Linked DNA regions of Pelodiscus sinensis. The protein of the gene in region 3 interacts with the protein of the main gene of each other region in a biochemical or structural test. Links are inferred from orthologs where the notes say so. Each region holds a gene or a part of one and is shown on either strand. Other genes may lie near its edges.

Evidence for each region.
Region 1: the proteins of SNCA (region 3) and SNCAIP form a complex in vitro, tested with the Homo sapiens proteins (3 studies listed by BioGRID and IntAct, with this or other methods). The link is inferred for Pelodiscus sinensis from reciprocal best matches to the Homo sapiens genes SNCA and SNCAIP.
Region 2: the proteins of SNCA (region 3) and YOD1 form a complex in vitro, tested with the Homo sapiens proteins (2 studies listed by BioGRID, with this or other methods). The link is inferred for Pelodiscus sinensis from reciprocal best matches to the Homo sapiens genes SNCA and YOD1.
Region 4: of the proteins of SNCA (region 3) and PLK2, one has a biochemical effect on the other in vitro, tested with the Homo sapiens proteins (2 studies listed by BioGRID). The link is inferred for Pelodiscus sinensis from reciprocal best matches to the Homo sapiens genes SNCA and PLK2.

What each region holds. Positions count from the first base shown.
Region 1 is NC_134716.1:55,040,514-55,047,630, reverse strand, and holds the start of SNCAIP (synphilin-1), read left to right. Parts: upstream 1-4,093; 5' UTR 4,094-4,934; intron 4,935-7,117. UniProt on the Homo sapiens protein: Isoform 2 inhibits the ubiquitin ligase activity of SIAH1 and inhibits proteasomal degradation of target proteins. Isoform 2 inhibits autoubiquitination and proteasomal degradation of SIAH1, and thereby increases cellular levels of SIAH.
Region 2 is NC_134737.1:5,465,619-5,472,473, forward strand, and holds the start of YOD1 (ubiquitin thioesterase OTU1), read left to right. Parts: upstream 1-3,831; 5' UTR 3,832-3,994; coding exon 3,995-4,202; intron 4,203-5,846; coding exon 5,847-6,553; 3' UTR 6,554-6,855. Other genes in the region: PFKFB2 (6-phosphofructo-2-kinase/fructose-2,6-bisphosphatase 2), read right to left, coding at 2,410-2,500. UniProt on the Homo sapiens protein: Hydrolase that can remove conjugated ubiquitin from proteins and participates in endoplasmic reticulum-associated degradation (ERAD) for misfolded lumenal proteins.
Region 3 is NC_134715.1:16,040,166-16,047,706, reverse strand, and holds the start of SNCA (alpha-synuclein), read left to right. Parts: upstream 1-4,522; 5' UTR 4,523-4,788; intron 4,789-7,541. UniProt on the Homo sapiens protein: Neuronal protein that plays several roles in synaptic activity such as regulation of synaptic vesicle trafficking and subsequent neurotransmitter release.
Region 4 is NC_134716.1:95,058,604-95,065,619, reverse strand, and holds the start of PLK2 (serine/threonine-protein kinase PLK2), read right to left. Parts: upstream 3,025-7,016; 5' UTR 2,982-3,024; coding exon 2,751-2,981; intron 2,143-2,750; coding exon 2,035-2,142; intron 1,890-2,034; coding exon 1,773-1,889; intron 1,597-1,772; coding exon 1,467-1,596; intron 1,212-1,466; coding exon 1,124-1,211; intron 761-1,123; coding exon 665-760; intron 422-664; coding exon 223-421; intron 133-222; coding exon 1-132.

The sequences.
Region 1 (7,117 bases), on a different chromosome or scaffold from region 3:
ACACCAAAACTATGTTGTTGTTTTTTTAAATTGGATCCACCTGGCTTTGCACAATTCTCAGCAAAAACAATCCTGGGATGCATGCTTCTCAGCAGAGAAGTAAAAGATCATAAGATATTGTCAGAGAATGCTATGCCCTCACTTTGCTGCCAACTGTTTCCATGTGTTCACTAAGGATGTAAAATTTTGATTATTTGGTAATTGAATAATCGATGCAATTTGTATCAACTACTCAATTAGTCAATAAGGGTGCTTACGCTTTTGAAGTGTAGCAACAGCCCTAGGGCTGTTGTTATACTTCAAAAGTGAAAGCACTATTGGGAGCACAGGGCCAGCATGGGACTCAACAGTCCCCAGCTGACCCTGGGCTCCACGTGGCGTTTCAAAGCGGCAGTGCCACATGGAGCCCAGGGTCAGCTGGAGACTCCTTCATTGACCCCTGGCTCCACACGGAGCTGCCGCTTTGAAGCACCCCTTCCCCTGTTCCCCCGCTGCCTCTTTGTGATAGAGGCAGCAAGGTGGGGAAGCAACTAGTCGACTAGCCTATCGACTGTCCGATAAGCATCATTTGACTAGTTGTTCACATCCCTAGTGTTCACACAATGCAATTTGAAACGAACAGGGGTTTTGTGCAAACATTATTGGTGCGACTTGCATTCTGAGAGTTACTCAATGTGCATCAAAAAGTTTTGGATTAACTCTCCCATATCCTACATGGTTTGAATAATGTAGTCTACTATATGAAAAATTTCAAGTAGGGAGAATACAGAATGGGTTTGAAAGACTAAAATCAGGGCTAATTTGAATCTGTCCTATTTTTTTCAATCTTTCAAAGTTAGGAGGGGAAAATGTCTTTAATTTTAGCTCACCTGTCTGAAATAAGTTAGGCTTTTAGAGGGGAATATTTTTCACCAAGAATTAAAGTTGAGTGGCAAACTTAAAACAAACAAACAATTAATTCCTGAATGCCCCTAAATAATATAAAAAGGAAGCATTCATAGTGCAAGTTAAAACTTACCCTTTGTTATTTCAAAAGATGTTAATGCAGTTTCTCTGCAATAACTAGTTCTTACTTAAAGTGACACCCATGAGAACACATGATTGTATCACACTCACCATAAGTCATAGATTACCATACTGGAAACTGGAGGCTGACTACAGATATAAAGTACTGTACATTCCTTTATTTACAGCTTGTAGAATTTTTGTAATTGCTTAATTTTGCAAGCTGTGGGATAGAAAATACAAATATTATTAAATTGCAAAATATTTTAGTTCTAGACTAAAACACCCGATATTTATTTGAAGGTCACAGTTAAAAACACAGGCCCTAATCCATTGTCCACTGAAGTTGATGGAATGATTCCTGTTCAGGCCCCTAGGATCTAGCCCTGCAACCATCCGCTGTCTACCTTCAGCTCCCACTCCCTATTATGGAAGCAAGACTGGTCTCTTACATACACACATGAAAGATACTCTTTACTCTTATCACATGCATTACCATGATCAGTCTGTCTGTAATACTAGAGCATTTTCATGTACTACTGAACTGATCTTGGGTAAACTATCTTTTAAAAAAAAGTATACTAGTGCCTATTTTTCAATAAATCTTGTCTGGAGATAAGATGGTAAGAGGGAAATATTCTACATTTCAATAAAGCCGTGTACCTGTTTGTATGCTATAAAAATACAGATGGGCTGTGTCTACACTGGGCCACTTATTCCGGAAAATCAGCCACTTTTCCGGAATAAGCTGCGAGCTGTCTACACTGGCCCTTGAATTTCCAGAATAGCAACGATGCTCTACTGTACAAAATCAGCCGCTATTCCGGAAAAACTATTCTGCTCCCGCTCGGGCATAAGTCCTTATTCCGGAACACTGTTCCGGAAAAGGGCCAGTGTAGACAGCCCAGTCGTCTTTTCCGGAAAAAAGCCACGATTGCGAAAATGGCGATCGGAGCTCTTTTCCAGAAAAGCGCGTCTACATTGGCCACAGATGCTTTTCCAGAAAAAGGGCTTTTCCGGAAAAGCAGCCTGCCAATGTAGACGCTCCTTTTCCGGAAAAACTGAAAACGGAATAGTATTCCATTTTAAGCAGTTCCGGAAATTCATGTCAGTGTAGACACAGCCCTGGTGTCCTGTGATTTTTTTAAAAAGAGTACTAACAGTACTGTGTAATATAAAGTACAGATATGGTATATCTTGCAATCCTTATAAGAACTGACCCTTGTATGCCAAGTTATTGCTTATATGGACATATAGGGCATGATCGGCTCTCCTCATTCAAGCAAAAACTCCCACCAAGAGTGCAGGAGCAAGTCCATAAACAGGAATATCAGCTCTACATGAGATATTATCACATGTAACACATAAAAATATACTTGGCAGGCTAAAAGGCTGCATTTAAATATAGAGTGTATTTATGGCCCCTAAATTACAAAATATACTGCTTTTCTTTTCCATAGACACTATGTTCTTCAACCAGGCATGAGCTATATGTGACATTGTGTTCTGAAGCTGACCTGTATTCTTTTAAAAACCATTTAATCACACACAGCTGACCAGAATTCCTTTAAAAAAACCACCTAATCAAATGCATTTGAAATACCCCAAAACAGTTATTTAATCTCTATGTAAGTATGAGTGTGAAATGGGCAGTCTCTGCATATGCCTTTTCCTAAAAACACTGCAATAGTGAAATCTTTCCAAAATAAAACCCTTCTCTTCCTCTCCCTGAATCAACACGCTCCTCAGATAGCGTTGAGACCATTTTAACATTTTAGGCATAGCACGCATGGCCTGAATAGAAAACCTAGAATTCATTGTAATCAACGTGCAAGCTTCTTTTCATACCATCTTAACAATATACATTAATTTTTTTAAATTAACACTTTTCATCCTTTGGGCAAGTGTACTGAATGAGCTGTGACATATATGAGAATACATTATGTTACAGGGACTAGATACCTCAAGTGAATTGATGGAACGCTATACTGTCTTTCATCTCCAAGTCACTGGTGCAAATGCAGATCAGATTAAAAGTGTTTCAAAGTAGTTATTATCTGATGGCTGTTCTATGGATGACATCGAATGGTGGTCTCAATTCCATTCCTAATGGGCCAAGAACTGTGATTCACTGGCTTCTCTGGAACTCTCATGAAGGCCAAGAAGTAAATGAACATGCAGACTGAAATACCACTCTGAATTCCTGGAGATGTTCAATCCAGAATGGGTTTAATAATATTAGTGATGCACTGGAGGAAACTTGTTACTGTTTGTGCTATATTTGTTCTGTAGATAACAGTTACCGGTAATGTCAAACCAGAATCTTTTTACATGCGTGAAATTCACTTTAATTTGCAGTATGCATCTTTGGGGCTTTTGCAGTGTTGCCTCATCTGAGACTGAAAATCCAAGTCCTGATTTATGTTTGAAATGTAAAACTGTATAAAATCTCTGGGGAGTCAGTGAGAAAACAGGATAAGTCTAAAAGGTAGACTAGAAAATGTGTGTGAACAGTGATTTAAAAAAATCCCAGACACTTCTGAGAAAACATGGCAGAAGGGAATAAAATTAAATTATGAAAAAGAGGGGAAATGCATTTAAAAGAACTTTCACTGCAGCTAAACTACCACTTAGCTTATGGGTAGTGTTTTCCTGTTACCTCACACTGAAATCACAATGGTTACCACTTGAGAACCTTGTAACAAACAATTACCGTAATGTTTAAATAGAGTGACCACCTGGCCCATGTTTGACTAAAATAGTCTACATTCAGAAGCAAAGAAACAGTTTGTAACTATGCTAACCCTCAATAACATGAAATAAAATATGATTTTCTAACAGAGGGAGTTAACATGACTTTAATGGAAACATATTCCATACATTGCAAGGGTGCCACCAACTCCATCTGTATCTACTGGAAGGAAAGCATGATGTGTGCTTTCCAGGTTTTATACTAAGCCAAAACCCACGGTTTTATTTTAAACAGATGTGAACGAATTAAACCCAACATTTTCAGGTATTTTTAGTGCAGTATGATGCCATGTGATTAATACCTTATAGCATGAGTTGATGTGTGTTTTCACCTTAAAGATAGTTTAAACCTCTGTTTAAAAAATTGTGCCTGATGTTGCCAGCAAATTAGAACACGGGGTCCTATGTTGCTACTTTTTGCACAAGTTGGGCCCGCTGCTGGAGTGGGCTGTGTGACAGCAGGAGCCCCGCAGGGAATACTGTGAGCACCAGGGTAGGCGCCGCCGGTCCTTCCTTGCTGCTGCAGGGATCCTGCCGAGCGGGATGGTGCTAGGAGCGGGCTTTTCCCCTCAGCCCTCACCTGGACCGAGTCTTCTCAAGGAGCGACGAGCCCCCACCCGCCAACGGTTCGACCTGCACATCCGCCCCGCGTGAAGAGCGTTTGTCCCCCGCGTGTGTAGGGGCGATTCCGGGGCTAAAAGGGGGGGTCACACCCCCCTGCAGCTGCAACCTCCTCCAGTCCCCTGCACGCCCCAGTGCCCAGGGCAGCGCGGCGGGGCGGGAGCAGGGGCGGGCTGTCACAGCGGGGCGAAGGAGAAAGTGCAAGAAACACGCGCGGGGGCGGGGGGAATCCAGCGGGAGGCGAGGGCCAGGACGGGGCTGCGGCGGGGCCCGGGGGTGGGGAGCTCCCGTCAGTCAGGCTTGCGGCGGGCAGCCTCCAGCGCCTCCGCCCTGCCCGCCTCCCCGCCCGGCGGCGCCTCGCTGCTCATCACGTGGCGGCTCCCCCCAGCCCCCCGAATTCCCGGCGTGGGGAATGGCCGCGGCGTGATTGTGACGCAAGCAGCGGGCGGCCGCGTCCCCGCCCGGCGGGCCGCGTTCTACCCGAGCGGGAGCAGCGGCAGCAGGAGCAGCGCGAGCCCCGGCCCCGCGCAGCAGCACGTTGGCCGGCGGAGCCGCGGGTGAGTGAGCCAAAGTTCCCTGGAGCCTGGGCCGGGCGCAGCCCGCGGGAGGGGAGCAGCCCAGCCTGCGGCTCCAAGTTTGCATGGGGGGGAGGAGCAGCACCCCCTTTCCCTGAGCACGAGGAGGGGGATCCCATCCCTTCCGGCAGCGCAGGCAGGGGACCGCGCGGCTGGTCTCGCGGAGAGGAGCGCCTCGCTGCGAAAGGGTTAGGACCCAGCCGGTGTCTATAGTAACGCTGCAGCCAAGAGGTGGTTTTAGCCGGGAGATGGTTGACACACAAGAGGCAGCAGCTTCCCCGCTACCTTGTGGGGCATGGACGCCCCCCTTTCTTGGCTGGCACCCTGGCTTGTATTGTCGCTGGCATCCTGGCTTTTAACGAGCCGCCTTGTGCAACACGGGCACCATCTCGTACAGGGGGACGTGAAGGGTTGGGTGAAACGAATGCACAGAAGGATACTGTGGGAAGAGTCTGTCCCCCCTACCCCACCTCTAAACCAGCATGCAGGACTTGGACATCCTCAGCCACCTCTCTTGCTGGGTTACAGTGTGCTTTGGTTTTGCTGTTTGCTGAAATGTGACTCCTTTGCTTTCCTTTGCTGATGACTTTCATCTGCAGGTGGTGAATGAGGTAAAGGGTTATTGTGGCTGTTGTCGAAATGCCAGGGTGTGTTTATTTTAAATACAAAACAAAACAATAAAAATGGGAGAAGAAAAATTAGGAGGCTGTTACTGGCAACCACACAATTTCCACAGGAAATGCTAGCATTCTTCGCTGAACTCTGCTTGCAGAGAAGAAATAGGCTTCAGAAATAACTATTGTTGACAATTTTCAGTGTTCCTTGAACAAAATCCTGCAATATAATTATCTGTTCCTGTTGTATTTTTGGCTTTCCTCTGAGTAGCTGGTGAAAAAAATGCCATTCCCGTTGTTTCCCTCTTAAAAACAAGTAACAGAGCCTTGTGCTTCTTATCAGTTTATGATTGACAGGTATCCCTCAAAGAAGAAAAGCACCCTCCTCTGTAAAAGAAAAGAATGACAGCAGATAAAAGAGCCTCTTCTCTCACCCTATGAAGTGGAGCAGCCCAGGGTTGTGTTTTCCAAATGAAATTATGGTTTTATCCGAGGGATTTAATTAGAGCTCAAGCATGTATATGAATGATGTCAGTTCTCCAAAGTGGCACTGTAAAAATCATTTTCTATGAAATTTGAAGCCAATACAAATTTATTTGTGTTCTGTTCTGAGCCATATATCCCTTGTGGGGAAATGGCTTTAAACACTATATATTCTACTGGTACATTTTGATAGTTAAAAGAAAATTGAAGAAAAGTTCACTGTTTTTATACCTTAAGGAAATGTTAGTGAAAATAGCTTATTCCTTTCTTTTTTAGTTCTAAGAACATTAATTACAGGTCTATCTAATGGGAGGACTACAGCACAGATTATAGTTAAATTAATCCAAGGCTAGTCTAATAACATAGGGTTGAATGTTACAAACTGTTTACTTAAGCTGATATCAATGGGAGTCCTTGTGTGAGTAAAAAAAACTTGTATGAGTAAGGGCTGCAGGGTCAGACTCTTAGAATATAAATTAGCTCTGAAATATACAAATGCTTGATCTAAATCAGTGTTGCCAGCTCATGATATTTGATGTTTGATTTACATCCTTAGCGCATGGAGACAATTGATTGTGAATTTTTTTTTTTAAGAAAGGGCTTGACTAGAGAGAGGGTAATGCACAGTATGAAAGAGCCTTCAGTGTATACCAGCAGGGTATACACAGACTAATTTATGTACATGACATTAGTACACTATAGAAATCACACACTTAATAATGCCTATCACCCACCATGTAAATAAGCCCTAAATTTCTAGTGTTATGGTTGCAGAGAAAAGCTTTGAAATATGATAGCAGTATACCCTAAAGATTAAAAAACAAACAAACAAAAAAAACAACACCCCAAACTAGAAGGTAAATAAAAACAACCCACATTTTATTAGTCTTTAAAATCTCCTGATTTTTAAGCCTTGATTTTTTTAAGGGCCTGATTCGTGACTTTTGAACAATGAGGTTGGCAGTACTGTGTCTTGCTTCCTTCGAAGTCAGTGGGAACAGGTTCACATCCTCCAATTAGAAAATAAAAAAATTCCACTTGGTGTAGTTAGTCATGATTCTGCAAACA
Region 2 (6,855 bases), on a different chromosome or scaffold from region 3:
GGGAAAATAACGTGTGACTAATATGTCAGCCAAAATACGTCAGTCAGAGTTGAAAGTATGTACCAATTAAGCAATAGCTATCAAGGACAGAGGAAAAATTCTTTATTGATAATAGACGGGAAGCTAATTTCTTTCCATATCATAATGAACAAATGATCTGAGAAACAAAGTTGATAATGTTTAATCTGTTGCTAAGAAGCAGGATTTTTGACCAGTACTGATTTTGCATAAAATTTCTAGTATCTATTTAAAAATTCTGATAATTCTCCAAAAGCAACAGATGAATTAATTAATGAATCCACTGAGTAAAACTTTCAGTTTTATAGAACTCTACGAAAGAGACTGATTATAGACAGGGATATGGGAGCATGTGCTGCCATAATTAAACTGGTCAAAGCAAATGAATATAAACTAAATAGAAGACAAAATGGAAAGAATAGGACTTTCCTGTATCTAAATGGCCTGATGAGACGGTTTTGCCACACAAGACACAATTCAAATCTAACTGCAATGCTGATGGGATTTTGTCTGTTGTAAATCTTGTCAGTTTCAAAGATTCTGTTAAAGGTATATATATATATCTGTGCACTACTTTTGCCCCCAAGCTTCAATGCCAATTTTTTTTATAGTTTTATAGCCATATTTGTCTATTATTAATACTCTAAATTCTCTCACTTGTTTGTGTGGATTTTCGTGCATAGTAACAAAGAAACTGACTCTGGGGAAGCCATCTGTATTCCTTGCTGTCATAAGTGCAAAGTAAACAAATGGAAAAAAAAATGTTTTTCCCCATGGTCTTTTCCAGTCATAGTCATTTTAAGGATTACTTAAAACAGGTAAAACATTGTCAGACACAAACATAACCTTTGCATGGACGATGTTCCTTGAAATAGCTTTATAAAGGAACTGGAGGAAGAGACAAACAAGATGTTAAATGTAAATTCCCAAAGTGACTTAGGCTACATCTAGACTACAGGCTTCTTTTAGAAGAAGCTTTTTTTGGAAGAGATCTTCCGAAAAAACTTCTTCACAAAGAGAGCGGCCACACTGCAAAAGTGCATTGAAAAAGCCATCTGCTTTTTCGAAAGAGAGCATCCACACTGAATGGAAGCTGTCTTGCATGTAAGCTGTGATTGCTATGGATGGAATGGCCACCAAGGCACCTGTGCTTTTCCCTTTTTCCTCTTCTTTCGAAAGAACTTGCTCTTCACTGTCCACACATGCCTTTTTGTGAAAGAGCTCTTTCGGAAAAAGGCTTTTTCCTTGTAGAATGAGGATTACCAATGCCAGAAAACCCCCTGGTTCTTTAGATTTTCTTGCAGAAGAACACAATTGCAGTGTGGACAGTCCTCAAGTTGTGTTAGAAAAACGGCCATTTTTCTAACACAACTTTGTAGTGTAGACGTATCTTTAGATTGGGAAGTTCTGAAAAATCAGTAAAGACACTGAATTATGGGTTAGAGACATAAGCAGGAAATAACAAAATGAATGTAATATGGATAAGGGCAACTAGCACGTATTGGGAAAAAGTAATCCTTAATAAAGATATTCAATAAGAGTAAAGAGAGATACTTGGAAAGCAGTAAAAATCGAAGCAGACCGCTGGTGATTATGCAGCTCTAAATCATATCAGTGTGCGTGTGCGCGTCCTTTCCTACTGAACTTTGTGATTCTTTGCTTAAACCTGGCCTTTCACAACCGAAGACTAAGCCTAGGTTATAAGAGTTCAATGGAGGTTGTTAGATGGAATCAGCTCAACTTGTCACAGATGTAACATGCCCAGATCACTACCTGATGAAGCACATTAGATGGAAATAGGCAAGGTGAGCCACCTTAAATCCCTATTGAGTACAGTTGTGCTAGTTCTTGCCTAATACACGTGGGTAGCTTTCAGGAACAGACGTTACATTTAAACTCAGATCCACATTGAACAGATTTCCTTCTAAAAAGAGCTGAATTAAAAAACGTTATTAACTTGAAGGGTCAACATTTGTCCAGAAGAGCAAAATGTTCAACAAATATAACTGGATAAAAGTGATACAAACAAGAATTGTACACAGTTATAAACTTGTCTAGTACTATTTTTGGAGCCTACATTAAATACATTAAATTTCTGGGGATCTCAGGTCCAAGTACATATCATAAAAACACATCACAGTTCTTCCCCTTGCTGGCAGACTCAGCAAAAAAGGCCTAGAAATGAATGGGGGACAGAAAATGAACAGCCCTTCAGATCAGAGCTGAAGCATTTTTGGGAAGAGGCATAAGGAAAGCCACTTCGCCTTTACTATGCCCCGGGGTAGAAGGAATAAAGCGTGACTGATTGACTACTTCTTTTTATAAACAGGTAAAAGAGAAATTAATTGCAAGACACAGGATCTATTTCCCTAGACTGTCACAAATACTCACAACACTTTTTTTCTGAGACTCGGAGATTTGAAGTTTTGTTTTCCTGGTTGTTGTTGTTTTGCTCTGGGACTGATGCTGTATATTGTGACATTGCTGCTAATCAACACACTTAGTCAGTAATGGACCTTCAGGCTCTTGGAAAAGAAAAGAAGAACCAAACATAAATCCTTATGAAATCCGGTAGACAGAGCGGAATAAGATGCATAGCAACTTATCTGTGCTGTTCCTGGTGGCAAGGAAAGGAAGCCATGCAAGTCTCAAAGCTGTAGTCCAAGGTCACCCTCAGGTGGTAACATATGTAGTTGGCACAAGAGAACACAAACCATAGCAAAACGAAGCACAGGAGGAAAACAATGCCGCCTTCACCTAGAACATTAATGAATCATCTCAGCCAAGGAATAAGGGGAATGTACCTGTATTTACCCTTGAGTGCGAATCACCACAAATGTAAAGAAACAGCCTTTCCCCAGACTCCCGAAGCGGTTCCGCAGCTGCGGGGGCACTTTTTGGAGATGGCCAAGCAGCCCCCCCAGCTGACCAGCAGGGATTATGGCTCAGATGGTTTGACAGCATCCTCTGAGCCAGGGGGCGGGTCCCAGCACTCACAAGCCCCGCTCCAGGATTTCAGCCATTCCTCAGGCACGGACCTGCAGAGCCCCCCAGACAGACCCGCTGGCAGCGCAGGGAAACTGAGGCACCAAACCCCGAGCCTTCAGCGCGAGCCGTACCAGGAAGGGGCGGGAAGCCAGCCTGCTGCTGCCCCTGTCAAGCTCTGCGAGCCTCGGGCACCGGCCGGGAGCCTCCCCCAAGGGCAAGGGCATGGACGCACCGAGGCTGGCGGGCCCCGCACTGCAGCAAGGCTCCCCCGCGCCGCCCTGGGAAGGTTCGTCCCGCACCTGCTGGCCGACAGGGAAGAGGGCGGGGCAAGGAACGAGATGCAAATGATATGCTAATAGAGCGCTCGCGTGACTAAGACGCCGCTTCGCTGGGAAAAGGGGGGGGGGGGTGGAGACCCGCGGAACCAGGCAGGAGGGGCCATGCTATGCAAATGAACACGCGCAATTCAAAGAAGCCTGGACACGTCAGCGCGCCCATAGGCCAGGTATGTAAATGAGATGCAAATGTGCCCATGGATAAATAAACTGTAGAAAAGCTCACTCCATTTTTTTTTCCGAACGAGCGAAAGAACAGGAATTTCTAGTATGCAAATAATGTGCAAATATGCAAATGAGTTTATAACAGAACTCCGCCCCCACCCGCTCCTATTCCACCTTGACCGCGGGAAGGCAAAATGACGTCTCTTCTCCCCCCTCCCACCCCGACTGTGAGACTCCCCTCGTGCGCGTGTGACGCCACCACGGGCGTCTCCACCCCAAGCCGCGGATTGGCCGCGCCGCCGGCGCGCGAGGGAAACATGCCCCCTCCGCCGGGGAGGAGGGGCCGGTCCCGGCGCGCGCAGCCAATAGCCGGCCGCGGCGCCCGTTGTCGCGAGACTTGTCGGGGCAGCCCTGGCAGCGGCCGCCGGCCCGGCCGGCCATTTTGCCCGGGCAGCAGCACAGGCCGGGCAGGCCCGGGCCGGCGGAGGATGCTGCGGCTGCGCTGCAAGGCCCGGAGCGGCTCCCACCCGCTGCCCGGCCTCACGGCGCATTCCCGCCTGCGGGAGCTGCAGGCCGCCCTGGCCGCCCTGACCGGGGTCCCCGCCCCGGCCCAGCGCCTCCTGCTCGGCTTCCCCCCGCGCAGCCTCGACCTGAGCGACGCGGAGCGGCGGCTGGGGGAGCTCGGCATCCACTCAGGTGAGGCGCGCGGGGAGCCCCCCCTTCCTGGGGGGCGGGGCGGTCCTGGCTGCCTCACGCTGGGGCGGGGGGTCAGTGGCAGCGTCTCTGCCCCTGGAGGCGGAACCCAGCGGTGGAGTGAGGGGGGGGGTCACACTGGCTCCGGCCCCCCCCCTCGTCCCCAGGCCGCGCTCTTCGCTCCAGCGAGGCTGTGGGGTGCCCCGCCGGGCACAGCTGGCCCGAGGGGTAGGAATCTGGGCTCCAGGTCCAGAGAGCGAGCAGAACCTTCCCTGTCTGCTTCACGCTTCGTCATTCTCCAACGGACGTGGTAGAGACTTCAGGGGCGAGCCGACTTAGTCAGTACAGGGAAAAAAACAAGCACTGTTTATAGACACACACAGGTAGATGGTATCGTGGGCACAGCCCACTTCTTCAGACTGTTGGGGGTAAGAGTACCAATAGAGAGGTAGCCCCGTTAAGTCTGATTTTGCAAAAACAAAAGGAAATACTGTGTAGCACTTTAGAGACTAACAAGATGGTGTAATAGGTGATGAGCTTTTGTGGGCCAGACCTGCTTCTTCAGATCATATTCTGGAAGAAAATTGGCATGACCAGGGCTTGACAAACAGCGGAAAAATCTATTTGCCAGACCCACATTGCGCATGCCCGTGTCACCGGTGAACGGGGTGACCGGCTGAAGTGGACTTGCCATGGGCAAGTAGATTCACTGATTTGTCAAGCCCTGGGCATATCCATATATACCAGAGGAATACAATGAAAAAAGTGAACACATTATTAAACGGTGTTAATAACGTGTTCACTTTTTTCATTGTATTCGTCTGGTATATATGGTCATGCCAATTTTCTTCCAGAATATGATCTGAGAGGGCAAGTGTAAGTTGAAGTTGTCCCTAGAAGTGATGCTCAGGGCTCACTGAAATGGATGGCTTAGCAAGCATGTCCTTTCTCTAGCTTATTTCATTCTCTCCCCAGATACTGTAGCCTTGTGAGCATGAGTCAACTGTAAAAGAACAGATTGCAAAAGATCTAGCTCTTGCTGGAGTAAAAGGCAGCAGGAGCTTAAAAACACAATATTCTATTATTATTTCATACATGCGCACACAAACAATATTATTCTACATCTTACTGCTCAAGACAGGATGAGCAACAGAATACCAGACTTAATTGAGCCTGCCTTTCAAGCAGATTATAATTAGCTTAACTGAAACTCATTTGGGATGCTTCACTTACCACCCTTTTTATTAAAGGATTGCAAAATAGTGTTGTCAGTGACTTAAACTTATCTAGCAGCTTGTAAATATAAACATCTCTAAATATCACTCCTCTTGTGGCCCAGATTTAGACAAACTTGAAAATATTACTTGTTTTGCCAATTTAGAGATTTCAGCACAAAGCTTGTGTCTCTCTACCAGCCATATACAGTGAGGTCCCAAAGCTACTGTTATTTTCTACATCTTGCTGTGGCTTATGTAATTTATCAAATGGGTAATGCTTTCTATTGTGCTTATCTAATCTTATCAGAGAACCGAGGCATGGTACACTGGGACAAAGATTTGCTTCACTGTGCAGTTTTTCCTTTGTTTGCAATGCATTATGGTGATTCAATGCTGGATTTTATCTCATGTCTCTTTTTATTTTTGACAGGTGATACTCTAATAGTTGAAGAGGACACAACCAAACCCAAGACTGAGTCACCTGTAGTTGCAAAAAGGAGTGTCCCTAATTTTGTCAGGGGGGCAGTGCCTGTACTTGGAAGGAGGGTTGTTCCAGCAGATAACTCTTGTCTCTTCACAAGCATATTCTATGTGGTAGAGGGGGGCATTTATGATCCAGCATGTGCTCCAGAGATGCGCAGTCTTATAGCTCAGATAGTGGCAAGTGATCCGGAGTCCTATTGTGAGGCAGTACTAGGGAAAACCAATCAAGAGTACTGTGAATGGATCAGAAGAGAAGATACATGGGGAGGAGCCATTGAAGTGTCCATTTTGTCTAAGTTTTATCAGTGTGAAATCTGTGTAGTGGATACACAGACAGTCCGAATTGATCGTTTTGGGGAAGATGCTGGCTATGCTAAGCGGGTCCTTCTGATTTATGATGGGATTCATTATGATCCCCTTGAACGTAAAATCCCGGACTCAGACGTCCCTCCCCTGACCATTTTCTCAACAAATGATGATATTGTTCTTGCACAAGCATTGGAATTAGCAGATGAAGCCAGACGAAAAAGGCAGTTTACTGATGTAAACCGCTTTACGCTGAGATGCATGGTGTGCCAGAAGGGATTAACTGGACAAGTGGAAGCCAGAGAACACGCAAAGGAGACTGGGCACACGAATTTTGGAGAAGTGTGACATCTGCTTGAGGATGGTTACATCACTACCTCACTGATCCAGAATAAGATTCTGGGTTTTCAGATAAGCTGTATGTAAGCATAAAAAGCTCCCTTCACAAAGCTTGAAAAGCCCTATTAACTTAATTATTGAGACACACAGGTTTGTTATGGTTAGTGTGCAGGTTTACAGATAGGTATACGGTAGTGATGCTCTCTTCCCAACTAGTTTGAAATAGGTAACTTATTGCATGCTGGATTGCATGCAGATTTTAAAGTAAGTGGCAGCTGTTTTTGTTGTATGTCAACAGCTAAAAGTCCTGA
Region 3 (7,541 bases):
ATAACCACCCCTGATCCAGCAAAATCCCTCATCCAGGATTGGTCAGGTCCAGAGGGGGTCGGACCAGGGAGGTCCAAAGTGTAGGAGAAGCTGATCTCACAGTTACAGAGGTGAAGGCCTAATAACATACTAAAATATAACAAATTCCTGCATAGACCGGACTTCTAAGTGAAAAATAATCCTTGGCATCTTTTATATGTATAGAACTAACCTGGTGAGGTCTGAGTGTATATCTAAAAGTATATATAATGCAGTGCATCATTGCCACAGTACAAGAGAGTCATGACACACAACTGAACATGTTCATATTTCTTGAAACCACTTTAATCAGGGTCCTAGATGAAGGATTGCACTGAACAAATGAATCCTGGGTGCTGGGAAATTAATCTTTTACAGTGGTTGTGCCTATTGTTAGAATTCATTCAAAGGGGATTTAGGAACCAAAATACCATTCACTTTCATTTAGGTACATAAACATGCAGCTAGGTACCTAAATCCCAACGATTTCAAAGATGTATTGAGAATATTTTCTAAACTCGGTGTGTCATGGCTTATACATGTTTAAAATTGTCCAGAAAGAACTGGGCCATATCCTCACCACAACTCTGTAAGATTATGTTTTCATTTCCCTGGATGTACTTTCTCCTATTTTCAGCAATGAATAGGAAATAAAACTGCTTATTTTGATTTCGTAGGCTTCTCTGTACACTTAAATTATATAAAAGCAGCTGGAATCTGATCACCAGGAATCCTGCTACCCCACTCTTGCAATAAAACAACAGAAATCCTTGACACCTCAGTTCCAATGTGTGACAAATAAATTACAGCTGTGATGATCCTCTTTCCCCAGCAGCAGGAGGGAGGACCTAGAGTCCCCCACAACACACCCTCCCTTTCAAGTATAATTGTACAGCACAGGATGAGTGAGATGAAACACCTTTATGTAATGCAATTATTGTTAGGAGGAAGAGGGGAGGAAAAAGCTCATCTTGAGTGCAATGTTATTTAAGGGAAGAGATTTGTATTCTCAGTCAGGCTATGTCTACACTGGAAAGGTTTGGTGATGAAAGTGCTGTCGACATACAATAGTCGCCAAAAGTGAAAACCAGCCAAACCAGTTTTTCTGCCACCCATTGTAGACATTTCATGGCTACATTGTTAGCACCCTGTAGACAGAAATACAGAAATGAAAACTGATCAAACCTGTTTTTCTGCCTCCCTTTGTTGATATCTCATGACCACATAGTTAGCATCCTGTCAAGAGACAGAGCAAAGCAATATGGGTAAGCATCCCACAGTGCCCTGGCATCACCTTTAGTTACTAAGCACTGTGGGGATGTGCAACATAGCACAAGGCATAGAAAAATGTCCATCAGCCACCTCTTTGCTTCCTAGCTCTCTTTGGGTTTCCAGGTTACTTGAATTGCAATCCTTGCTGAAAACTCCAGCATCTGCTGTGAGAAATCATGAACCCCACAATTCTCTCCCATGTTGTGTTCAATGTGCTTAGTACATCATGCATTGTAGCACAGCTACTTATGCAATTAATAACAAAGCATGAAAACTTGGATGCATTTAACAATGGAGAAAGGGACACCAACGAATTGTCATTGCATTGGGCTATCACAGATTAGCTGTGCACCATAGACCATAGCTAGGAAAACTAGCACTGGGTTTTGGAATTGAATTGTCATGCAGGTGTGGAATGAAGACCAGTGGCTACAGAACTTTCAGATGTGTAAAGCGCCTTCCTGGAGCTGTGTGCTGAGCTGGTCCCCTGAACTGTGACACAAAAACGGAGAATGGGAGCTGGCCACTCCTGATTGCAATTGTTAAGTTGCAAATTAGTTTGGAGTGGGAAAGTCTACCATGGAGGCAGTACTTACATAAGTGCACAGGACAATACATCACATTTTGCTATATAGGGCTGTAACTCTGGGAAATGTAGATGACATAATGGCTGGGTTTGCAAGCATGGGCTTTGCAAACTGTCCAACCATCCCATTGTTCAACCAGAAGAGCGTCTTGAGTAATATCCACCCCCCGATTCCCTGAGAAGATACCATGAGGACCACTACATAATGAGCCAGACACAAGCAAATGGATTTTTCAAGTTCCCAAGGTTTGCAGGTGGAAATGGCACATCTGTTTACATGTCTGCAGAGCAGCAGAGTTCCAAGCACTGGCCAGAGTGGCTAACTGGGCAGTATGGGAAACATGTTGGAGGTCAATAAATTTACCAAAAAACCTTCTGTAGTACACACTATATGACTGTCAACAGTCATGGCAAGGGGAGAGACAAAAGTCTCTGGTGGAGATGGAAGTTTTTTGTTGCCAAAACGGGGCATTTGTCATGACTTTAGTCACATCACAATGTGAACGCTCTCTGGCTGCATCTAGACTGGCAAGTTTTTCCGAAAAAGTAGCTGCTTTTGCGGAAAAACTTGCCAGCTGTCTACACTGGCCGCTTGAATTTCCGCAAGAACACTGACGATCTCATGTAAGAAATCAGTGCCTCTTGCAGAAATACAATGCTGCTCCCGTTCAGGCAAAAGTCCTTTTGCACAAAAGCTTTTGTGCAAAAGGGCCAGTGTAGACAGCTCAGATTTGTTTTGCGCAAAAAAGCCCCGATTTTTTTTTGGCTACATGTTGTGCACTGTAATGAATTTATATGATGGTCTTTTAGCACACTTTCATGATACCCGCAATACATTTCATGTGTTGGAGGCCACTGCAAAAGATCTCACACCGTCCGACTACAATGAGACCATACCATGCAAACGAAGGAGAAATCAATTTTCTGATGAAGTTGGTATGGATAACACTGTTTGAGTGCCAGGGATAAATTTCATATACAGTGCTTTTATCCTATCCTGGATAAACATATTGTTGAGATGGTCAGACAACGAGCAGCGTATGCCACGTTGAATGAAAGGTTCAATTTTCTTGTGGATAGATCAATGTCCAGTGCTGAAGTTGCCTCTAGAGCAAGGGCATTAGTAGATATCTGTCCCTCAAATCTCAGACATGCATTTACTGATGAATTTCTATTGTTCTCACATATGTATGGTATGTAGAGAAGAAATCTGTGGCAGCAATGATCAGTGCACAAATGGCAGACAAGTTGGTAACAAGTTTTCCAATGTCAACATTGCTTTCAGAATGTATCTCGCCATCTTGGGAGCAAACTGTGAAGGGAGTACTCTTTTTCAAAGTTAAACTATATGAAGGACTGTCTTCAGTCTACTATGGGTCAGAAACAACTATCTCCCTTGCACTACTTTCAATTGAGAGTGAGCTTTTGAGAAAAATAACATTTGATTATGTAGTCTGTGATTTTGCTAACAGAAAGAGTCACAAAATAAATATTTAATTGTATGTTATACCTGCATGTTGTTTGTTGACTAAAGATTTAATAACACCTCCATTTAATTGATCTTCAACATTTGCACATGTATTCTAATAAAAATAGCAAATTATTAAGTGTGATTGAGCTGTTTTATTTTCTTATTTTTGAGTCAATCATGATTTTTTTTGGGGCCCTAAATTTTTTGTAGGCTATATGCACTGTGTTTACTGGATAATCTGGCTCTGACCTTAGGCACTTTGGAAAAACTACTGCTGTTCTTTCTTTTCTGGGATAATTTGGGAGCTGAGGGTATGTCTACACTACCCCGCTAGTTCGAACTAGCGGGGTAATGTAGGCATACCGCACTTGCAAATGAAGTCCGGGTTTTGAATTTCCCGGGCTTCATTTGCATAAGCGGGGAGCCACCGTTTTTAAAACCCCGCTGGTTCGAACCCCGTGCTGCGCGGCTACACGGGGCTCGAACTAGGTAGTTCGGACTAGGATTCCTATTCAGAACTACCTAGTTCAAGCCCCGTGTAGCTGCGCTGCACGGGGTTCGAACCAGCGGGGTTTTTAAAATGGCGGCTCCCCGCTTATGCAAATGAAGCCCGGGAAATTCAAATCCTGGGCTTCATTTGCAAGTGCGGTATGCATACATTACCCTCCTAGTTCGAACTAGGGGGGTAGTGTAGACATACCCTTAGAAAGGAAGATCAAGAGGATCTATCTTTCCATTTTACCCGGTGGGTATCTTGCCTAGCCTTAATGTGTGTGAACTTGAATAAAAATGTATCCACCTCCTAGGTTTTATTATATATCCAGCTTTATTGTTGTTAATGAGTCAAAGGGGAACTGGAGAAGCTAATGATGGCCTGCCCCATGCCAGGCCCCTGCAATCCCCAGCGGTGAAATACGATTCCCCCCAGGATCTGTGATTATGTCTACATGGACCAGGCACTCACTGGGGTAGATAAACTCGGGCTAAAAATAGCTTGTGGCCCAAGCTCCACTCCACTCCCATTAGCAGTCTCAATGCTGGGGGTGCTGTAGCCAGAGAGCTGTCCCGCCCCACGTCAGGCTGGATGTGGGGGGGGGGGGAGCGGCACTGGAGCCCAAAGGCTGGGGGTGGAGGGGTGTCTCTTTCTTCCCCCTGGCAAATCAGCCGAGAGGGCGGGGGAGGAGGGCGAGGGGCTGCTTCGCACGCTAGAAGCGCCTCACCATCGCTCCCCGCTCCCTTCTCTCCTCCCCTTCTCTCCGATCCCCGCCCGCGGAGCTGGGACCGGGCGCGTGAGCTGCCGGACTCGCTCCCTGCTTCTCTCCGCCCGCTTTGCCGGGGATGCGCTGAAAGGGGGCAGCTCCCGCGGGGCCTGTGCGACCCACCGCTCGCGTCCCGGCGCTCGCAGGCTCCCCACGGCTGCAGGCTGAAGTCCCGTCCGGCGGTAAGTAGCCTGGGCGGGGCTGCGCTGCCTGTGGCCGGGCTCTGGCTTTCCCCCCGCGGGGGGACCGGCCCAGGGTCCTCCCCGACGGGCGGAGCGGGGCAGGTGCCAGGGAGCTGGCTGAAGCACGGCAGCCGGGGCGCGCCTGGTGGAAGGGTTTCTGATTTGGGGGGGGGGGGGGGAGGAGGGACATATAGATCCAGCCTGCCGACGGACAGGAGGGTGGGTCTGTATGTGCCTATAGGGTCGTGATGTGCCTGTATGGTCCTGGCACCCCGCCCTGCCCTGCCTGAGACCGGGTCTATAGGTGCCTGTATGGTCCTAGCACCCCGCCCTGTCTATGAGACCGGGTCTATAGGTGCCTGTATGGTCCTAGCACCCCGCCCTGTCTATGAGACCGGTTCTATAGGTACCTGTATGGTCTTAGCACCCCGCCCTGTCTATGAGACCGGTTCTATAGGTGCCTGTATGGTCCTAGCACCCCGCCCTGTCTATGAGACCGGTTCTATAGGTGCCTGTATGGTCCTAGCACCCCGCCCTGTCTATGAGACCGGGTCTATAGGTGCCTGTATGGTCCTAGCACCCCGTCCTGCCCTGTCTATGAGACCGGTTCTATAGGTACCTGTATGGTCTTAGCACCCCGCCCTGTCTATGAGACCGGTTCTATAGGTGCCTGTATGGTCCTAGCACCCCGCCCTGTCTATGAGACCGGTTCTATAGGTGCCTGTATGGTCCTAGCACCCCGCCCTGTCTATGAGACCGGTTCTATAGGTGCCTGTATTGTCCTAGCACCCAGCCCTGTCTATGAGACCGGTTCTATAGGTGCCTGTATGGTCCTAGCACCCCGCCCTGTCCATGAGACAGGGTCTATAGGTGCCTGTATGCCTCTGCTACTCTGTCCCGTGTCCGTGACCGGGTCTGTTTGTGTCTCTATGGTCACGGCGCTCTGTCCGGTCGCTCTGGGCGGCGGGGTCCGTACGTGCCGGTGCCCCCAGGAGCAGTCCCGGGCGGGAGCTGCCCGCCCCCCCCCCCCCCCCCCGCTTGGTAGCGGGCAGGCTCAGGAGTGGCGCCGCCCCACCAGCAGGAGCCTCCCCACCCCCAGCAAGCCCCACAGAGCACCTCAAGCGAGGGGGGGGGGGCGGTTCTGGAGCTCCGAGTGCAGCTCCCTGTGCGGGAGACGGGGACGAGGGACTGGAGCCACTATTGTCTGAGCGGGCATTGCCCACGTGCGCAGAGATGTCTCATCCCCGCTCGGCTAATTTCCACTAGGACACTGTGTCCAGGTAGCTGCAGCCTTCTGGAGCAGGGCGGGACTCCTAAAACGGATTTGGAGCTTTCCCCTGCGGCTGAGGGTAGGTGTCAAGTGGATCCAGCCTCACCCTCGTAGCTCCAGAGAGATTGTGTGACGGCAGAAGGCTCGATCTCATGCATTTCACCCGAGATTCCTATTTAAAGCAGTGTGAAAGCTGTTCCCTTTCTGTGGGAGGGTGACAGATTTTGCAGTGTGTGCTAATGAGACAAATCTCGCTCCTGTTTATTTCCACATTTAAATGATCACAAGTAGGTAGTGGTTGCTGCCGCCCAGATGTTTGGCACCCAGTCAAAGGGTATGTCTACACTACAGCATTATTTTGAAATATCTACTTTCAAAATAGTTCATTCGAAATAGCTTATTTCGAAAGAACGCGTCTACACACAAAATGCAGGTCGCAATAGTGTTTTTCTATTTTGAAATAGCGCGTCCACACTGAGTGGTCGTTGAATCGCATTTAAGGCTGGTTGGAACCAGTTCTGGCAGGGCATCAGGTCAGAAGTTGCCTTGTGGCCAGAGCGGCCAGCAGGGCACCCTGGGAAGGGCTGGAGGTCCCCTTTTTTTCGAAATAAGCCTCTACACAGCGCTTATTTTTGAAATAGTAGTTTCAAAATTGGCACTATTCTTCGTGGAATGAGGGTTAACAATTTTGAAATAAGCCCTCTGCTATTTCAAATTAATTTCGCAGTAACGGAATGGCTCTGTAGATGCTAGGATAGTTATTTCGAAATAACGGCCGTTATTTTGAAATAACTTTGCTGTGTAGACATACCCTTAGTCAGCAGCATCAGAGGAATAAAGGAAGTGGTACAGGTACCAACAGAATTCTTATTCTATAGGTGGAGAAATAAAAGATCACCAAGAGTTAATTTGTTAAAGGAGCATTGCCTTTTTAAGGACTTAAATGAAGTTCCTAGTCCCACATCTGCCCCTGAAATCACCTACTAGTGATTGTGGCGTTACAATAATATTTCCCTTTAAAAAAGTATAAATGAGTTTTCCATCTCCACTGCTGCCAGAAATACCGCCACAAATAATAGGGTAAACTGTCTATACAAAGGAAAAAGAGAAACTGACTGTGGCAAAATGCTGTCAGATGCACTAAGCAAGTATATAGGGTACAAAGATTTTTTTCTTTAATCTTTTCCTGTTAATAGCTTCACAGATTCTAAGGCTGGAGGGGACCACTATGAATATAGGTGGATAATATAGCTATAACAGGGTTTATAATAGAGACTACTACAATAGTAGATAAGCAATTTTCAGATAAATGAGTGGTATTTTTATTTGTTTTTAAGTTGCTGGTGCATTTTGAACTAGATTCGTGGCTCTGAGTGAAAACATGTAGACCATCCAACTAAAGGGTTAAATCCTTTTGTCTGTAGAACAAAACTCACATTCATGTCTGTGGGAATTGTGTCTCATTCAAGAATAAAAGGATCTA
Region 4 (7,016 bases), on a different chromosome or scaffold from region 3:
TCTTGCTTTTTCCTTTTTACCACCAAACAGAGCAGCAGCTGCCTTTTTGAAAAAACTCTTAGCTGGACTTGACAAGTGGAAGTCAGGAACAGTGTGACAACAGCTAGAAGAGAGTCTATCTGGTGTAAAGCCCTGTGGAAATTAAATATAAGTCAATAATTTGAAGACTGAGCTGCACTTAGAATAATAGAATGTTTAGGACAAAAAAGTCACAGTACAAACCTGTAAAAAGAAGTCATGTCGAATTATATCATCTAAACTGGGCCGGTCCTCGGGATTCTTTGACAACATGCTAGCTATTAAGTGCTTCGCAGGTGCTAACAGAGATGATGGCAGAGTATATCTTGCTTCCCTTATACATCTGTAGGTTTCTTTAAGGTTCGTAGTCTCAAATGGAGGTCTTCCTAACAACATTGTGTACCTGTTTAAGAGGAGTAAGAGGCACTCAGTACTTAAGTAAATGCAACGCTTCAAAATCTTTTAAAAAAAGATTAAAATTAACCCATTTCATAGGCAAGAAGGTTGCTCTGATAATTCATATATGACGTTGGTAGGTTACCCAGACTTCAGGTATTGTGTTAACCCAGTCATTGCCTCCACTTTTGAACCCTAAAGCCATTTCAAGGTTATCAAGATAGCTTAGAGTCTTTGAAGTGATACTTACATTACACAGCCTAAGGCCCATATGTCAGATTCACAGCCATGTCCTTGTTTGTTCAGGACTTCTGGAGAGAGGTAATTTGGTGTGCCACAGATTGTTCTGCAAACCAAAAAGATCAGTAATCAGATATCAATCCAGAGAAGAAATTGGGCAGGAGATTAGAAACCCTCAAGAAACAGCGTGAATCATGTTTGCACTGTTAACATTCCTATTTAGTATCTTCAGTATTCCAGGATATGCCATACTGAACACCTTGCTGCAACACTTAGTCAGACATCCTGCCTCTGGCATTGGCCATCCTCTAAGTGTCCAGAGACAAAAGCCACCCTGCACATATTACAGTACTTTTATATGAAGAAAAGTTCTGACCCCTGCAGCAGTAAGCTAGTCTTAATGTTCCTCTAATTTTTAAGGTCTTGCTCAGAATTAATGCTGTACCTTAGACATTCTTTAGACTCTTACCTCCTTCTGTGTTCCAGTGGTTCCAACCTTGCTGCCAAACCAAAGTCTCCTACTTTTAGTTCCATGGCTTCATTAATGAAGAAATTACCTAGACAAAAAAAGGGAAAATGAATTCCTTCATTGCAAGATAGGGATGCATTAGCCACTAGAGCTGAGTCACACTAATAGAAGCCAGCAAACAGCCAAGCTTTTTTTAAAATGAATACTTAATATCATTACTTAAGTGCTCCAGGCTTCCATTGTAGAAAAAGACTGAAGGGATTCTATCAATTGAGCTGTCAGTATGCTAAGTGCCCAGTGCTGGAAACAGTGCAATTTGCAATCAATGAGAAAAATGACTTACCTAGTTTAAGGTCTCTGTGCAAGATTTCCTGTTCATGAAGATATTTTAGTCCAGACACTATCTGCCTGAGGTAGTATCGCACTTCTGGTTCTGTCAATACCTTCCTTGCTTTCAAGATATGAGCCATAGACTGCAAAAAACAAAACACAAAGAGGTGAATTAAAGGTCTCAAGTAGGTTTCACTTTATAGAGAAATGACCACCTAAAAAAAAAAAGCTATCAGAAATACCTTTCACATATTATACATTTACATTAGCTGCAGTTCCCAGGTAAGTGAATACTGGATTTCTCCCAGTTGATGCTCACCCTTCTACTGCAGTACTCCAGAAGAATGTAAATATTTTCTTTGTCTTCAAAGTAGTGGTAAAACTGCACAACATGCCTGTGATTAAGCATTCTGTGAAGCTCAATCTCTTTATCAATCTAAAGAACAAGACATAAGAAAAACATATTAGTCTTATAGCTCTGGCTGAGGAGTCTGCTAACACCAGCAGGCATTTCTAAACAGGGGAAAGGCCATGCCGCACACAAAGAGATTTTTTTAAGAAAGAGTCACTCATGCACACACCTTTTCCCTTTGATGAGGTTTAGCCACTCTGGTGTGAGGAATAATTTTTGCAGCATAGACTTTGTTGGTCGTTAAATCTGTCATCTCATAACATTTGGCAAATCCACCCTAAAGAGACATACCAAAAAAGGCAATTAAACATGGTATGAAAGGTTCCACATTTAATCAGTCATCTACTGGGTGCATGATTCAAGAGGCTCGAAAGAATAGAGAGTCTTTGTGATTGCCTCCGCCTTGGGCATTTCTGTAGCAGGCAGACCCCACCTCGCTGTGTAGGGGAAGGGGGAGAGGAGAGAAACCTAAACCATTTTTACAGACACGGCTGAGGGAACACACACTTTTAGGGTGGGAGGAAGGGCCGATCCAGTGGTGGGGCAGAGAGGGCTGTGAACACAGTATGCTCCACGCGGCGCGTTTACACAGACAAGGAGATCCGATCCACGTTCAGACGGGGCGGCACAGGTCCACCGCGCTCATCAGCGAGCGAGTCCAGCCAGGCACACCGGAGGGCCTGGGGCTGCCGAAGGGACATGCAGCAGGTAGCCACGCGAACGGCCCCCGGCGCAAGGGGCGGGGAAGGACACTCCTGCCCGGCTGGAGGAAGGACCATGCCGCGCGAAGGGAGCAGGGAGAAGCCCGGGCTGCTCCCCGGGGCGAGCCATGCGAGTCGCTTCCAGGAGCCCCCTGGGCGGCGGAGGAGGCGCCGGGTCCTTTACCTTGCCGAGCACCTTGCCGCGGCAGTAGCGCTTGCCCGAGCCGGGGTCGGTGATAATCCGGGAGACCTCGGGGGCAGCCTGCGAGTGATGGTGCTGAGGCTGCTCCTCCGGCGCTTTCTTGCGCCGGGCCTCCCCACCGCAGGCCCTGCCCAGCGCCGGCTCGCCCCCCTTGGGGCCGCCGCTGCTGCTGCCGCCGCCCGGCTGGTGAGCGATAGTCCGCAGTAAATCCATCTCCGCTCGGTCGGTCAATCAGCCCCACTGCGCGGAGCGCCGGCCCGACTGGCCCCTTATATCGCAGGAGGCGGCGGCCCCGCCCCGAACCTCTCGACGTCACAAGGCACCGCCTTCTAGCCCGCCCCAGCGTCATCTGCTGTACCCGCGCGCTCTGGCTCCCTGCGCGGAGCTGCCCGCCTGGGGCTGCCGGGTCGCTGCTGGCAGGGCTCTGCCGCGGGGTGTCACTAGCGGCCCCAGATCGCCCTTCTCCCGCGGGGGCGGGCCCCGTCCCTCAGGAGCGTGCACTGGGGGCAGGGACAGGGGCTCACTCCAGGACCGGTGGGGGCGCGATTCCCCAAGCGATGCAGACTCCGCAGCCCGGGGCCTGGAGCCGGCGGGTGCAGGGCTAGCGGGGGAAGCGAGCCCGGGTAGTACCTCTACCGTGGCTCAGGCGCCTTCCGTGGTGGACTGATAAAGTTGCGCATCCCCGGCCCAGCAGAGAAGCGCGGAGTCAGTAGACCAGTAGGGGACGTGTGTCCCGCAGGGGCGCAGGGACAGAAACTGCGTCCACCGGGTTGAACACGCCCAAGGGCAGTTCCCGGGTTGATTTTTTCCCATCTAACGCCTGTTGGTCTGAATAGGTCGTGAGGGCAATGCTCACAGGGGTAAGGTCACATGCCCCGGCTGCACCCCAACCAGCCAGTTGCAGACACATCTCCTTACACCCCCCCCCCCCCCACTCTCCTCTGCTCTCAAGGGCAAGGACAAGAGCCCTTGTCACTTCCCCAACTCTTCCTCTTGAGGGAATGGGACCCAGTTGGGGCTAGGAAGCATGCCATGTGAAACACCTATGACAAGACCAAACTACTTGGAAAACAGATTTTTCTTTGAACATAACAGTGGGTTCAGTTTTATTAAAATGTCACAAGGATGCACACACTTTAGGGGAAAAAAGCCAAATCAGGTCCCTTCCTAAGCCAAAAAAAGGGGGGGCATATGTAAAATGAAGATCGCTTTGGCTGAAACCATGAATAAAATGAAATTTGACTGAAGGAGGGGGGATACCACACAAAAAGAAACAAACGTTTTCAAGGAAAATTCAACATTTTTCTGAATATCTCAGGACCAGAAAGAGACACATTTGTTGCCTTTGATCCATATCTTACTGAGAAATGTTCTCCATTTAGTCCATTGGCTACTGAAGCAGTGTTCATCAGTGATGAAACAAGTCTCTGTGAAGGACCTAGCCTGCCAATTAATAATCACGCCTTGGATTGACCTCATTGGGTACAATGTTGTATTAATCTGCTGCAGGTCTGAGATGGGAGAAAACAGTTTCTCCTTTCCCAGGGCAGAGCAAAAGGAAACCCAGAGCGACACCTAGCGGAAAATGTAATCAGCACAAAGGGCTGGGGGGGGGGGGGGAGGGGGGAATTAATGGTAACTAGCCTATCACTGCAGTTCTGCAAAATTCAGTTTGAAGGCCTTTGACTACAATGGAAAATTTCAGTTGGATATTCTTCAGTTGGTGTCGAAAATATGTTGTGCAGTGTTACCTGCATTATTAAGTAGCTACCACATGTCTCTCTAGTTATTCTAGTTAGGCATGTGGATTAGAAACTGATTTACTAGATCTTTTGGTAGTTTATATAGCTGTGTGTATATATTCATGTCTTAGGACTGTGAATTGGTAAATCTAAGAATACTAGAGAGGCACATTTTAAATATTGAAATGAATAAAGTGCTTTGTGTTGCCTCATTGGAATGAAACGTGATACATATATGTATAATTACACTATTTCCTCAGTGGATCATACTTATTTTAGATTTTTTTATTATAGTTTGAGGATATTTTCTCTGTCCTTACTGGTGATAGATCTTGTCAGTCATGTAACCTACAACATCAGTTTTCAGAGCATATAATTACATAAGTGGTTTGTGTGTCAATTCTTGAGCCTCTCCCTTTCACACATTTAACTAGAGCACACAGCAACAAAATGTTTGTTTTCTAATGCTCCACCATGTGGATAATAGAAAAAATGCAACAGGAAAACATTTAAGAAGCCGTATGTGTTTATTGTGTTTTACTATGGAAAAACATTGATTTTTATCTCAAATATTTTTAGGTGAGCATATAGGAATGAAGTCAATGTTATTTAGTAGTTAGATTGACAGGCAAACAGTTCAGAGAGCAGGGCTTTGTTCACTTTTATAACTGATGTGGTGATGTATGACCTTGAGCACCTCGCTTAGATCTGTCAGGGGCTTAGTTCCCCAGTCTGTTTCCCTTATAACTCAAATACTTTAATTTCCCCCCCATCTGATGCTGGAAGTTTGAATTATACTCTAAAGAACAAATGACTCTCCCAAACTTTGTAAACTGCTTGGTACACCTCTGGTGAAAAATACTAAATAAATGTAAAATATTGTAGACTACAGCCCGCTCCTGGTCAGAATCAGAACTACTCATGCTAATGAATTAATTTTAAAATATCATAAGCTGGACCCCATTAACAGCTAATGGAAATTCACTAGTTTCAGAGGGATAGCCGTGTTAATCTGCAACTGAAAAACTTAAAAAATAACTAATAGTCTTGTAGCACCTTAGAGACTAACAAAAACGTAGCTGGTTGACTTCAGTGGTACTTAAGCCACATTCAGTGGGACTTAAGTACCTGCTTTAAAATCAAATACTTAAGTGTTTCACTTAATAGATACGTGTGCTTAGCTGAAAGAAAGTTTTGAAGCAGAATAATCTGAGTTCTGCCCCACTGTTCCCAAGGAGTTCAGAAGTGACAACTGTGAAGCCCTGGTACTAGGCAATTGTACAGTATTATTTGGGAATGTTTCTTTAGCTGAGAGAGCCGTGGGTAAATGTACTAGCTAAACTTTAAGGTGTTGAGTTCATGTTTAGATTTAGTAACAAGTAAAAGATATCTGTTTTCAAAAGGATCAAATCTCAAAAGGTTATAAGATTTTGTCAGTTTAGTTAGTAAAAGCCACAAAAAGATTGTAAGCAATAAACAAAATTCATAGAAGCCTCCAACCTGTCTATTATTAAAAATAATGGCACAGTTAGTAAGGGGATGACGGAAGTCTCAGCCCCATAGTGCGAGGAGAGAGAACCCCAGCACTTCCCACAGGAATTGCCAGCTCTGAAGCCACCCATCACCCATGGCACATGAGTGTTCTGAGCCCCGGCCAGCCATGGTGGTTCAGTCAATTAGCAGAGTTTTTCCCATCTGTTGAGACATTGAGATGGATTTAATCAAAATTAGAAGTCTGTTTAGTATCATGGAAAAGGAAGGAAGTTCCTTATCTGAAAATTTACAAACTTTTTTTCAATTTTTTGGAATTTGGAGCTGAAGTTTGGGGCATTTTTTCTTTATCTGAACAGGTTTGCCTGGCTTGTATGTTTATGTGCTTGTGACTCTGTACCTCAAAGCAGCACCCTGGAACCCCCATATTCACCACTGTCATATAATTATGATAACATAACTTGTGAAGTGTTATTTTAGAAGTCTGAATCTGCTGAACACTAAAAACCTGTTGAATTGTAGGTGCTATCATCATTGTATGTGAAGTTATAAAGTACAGGTTCAGTCTCTATGGTTACACTGACCATATGGCCTGGAAAATCCGGGACACTCCCAAATTTTAATGTCCTGTCCCGGTGCCCCGCACAGCTCTCAAATGTCCCAGAAAAGGTCCCTAGGCTCCAAGTGCAGGAAGAAGTGGCAGCTGATTCCCCTCCCCTGGCTAGGGGACGAGTCAGGAACACTTCCCAGCTTTTCCTGCAGCTGGGGATCTAGCCAATAGAAGCAGGGGAGACATTACCTGTTAGGAGCACGTGGAACACACGTAAATGGCTGGCCTGGGGGCTGGGGTGGACAAGCAGCACGGGGCGTAGGGGGGAAGGACTAAAGAGCAGCCCAGCTGGGCAGGGAAGCTGAAGAACGGGACCGTGGCCTGGCCCAGCTGGCCCAGGCAGGTGGCACTGAATAGCAGCCCACGGCCTGGCTGGCCCAGGCAGGGGAGGCCAAAGAGCGGCCC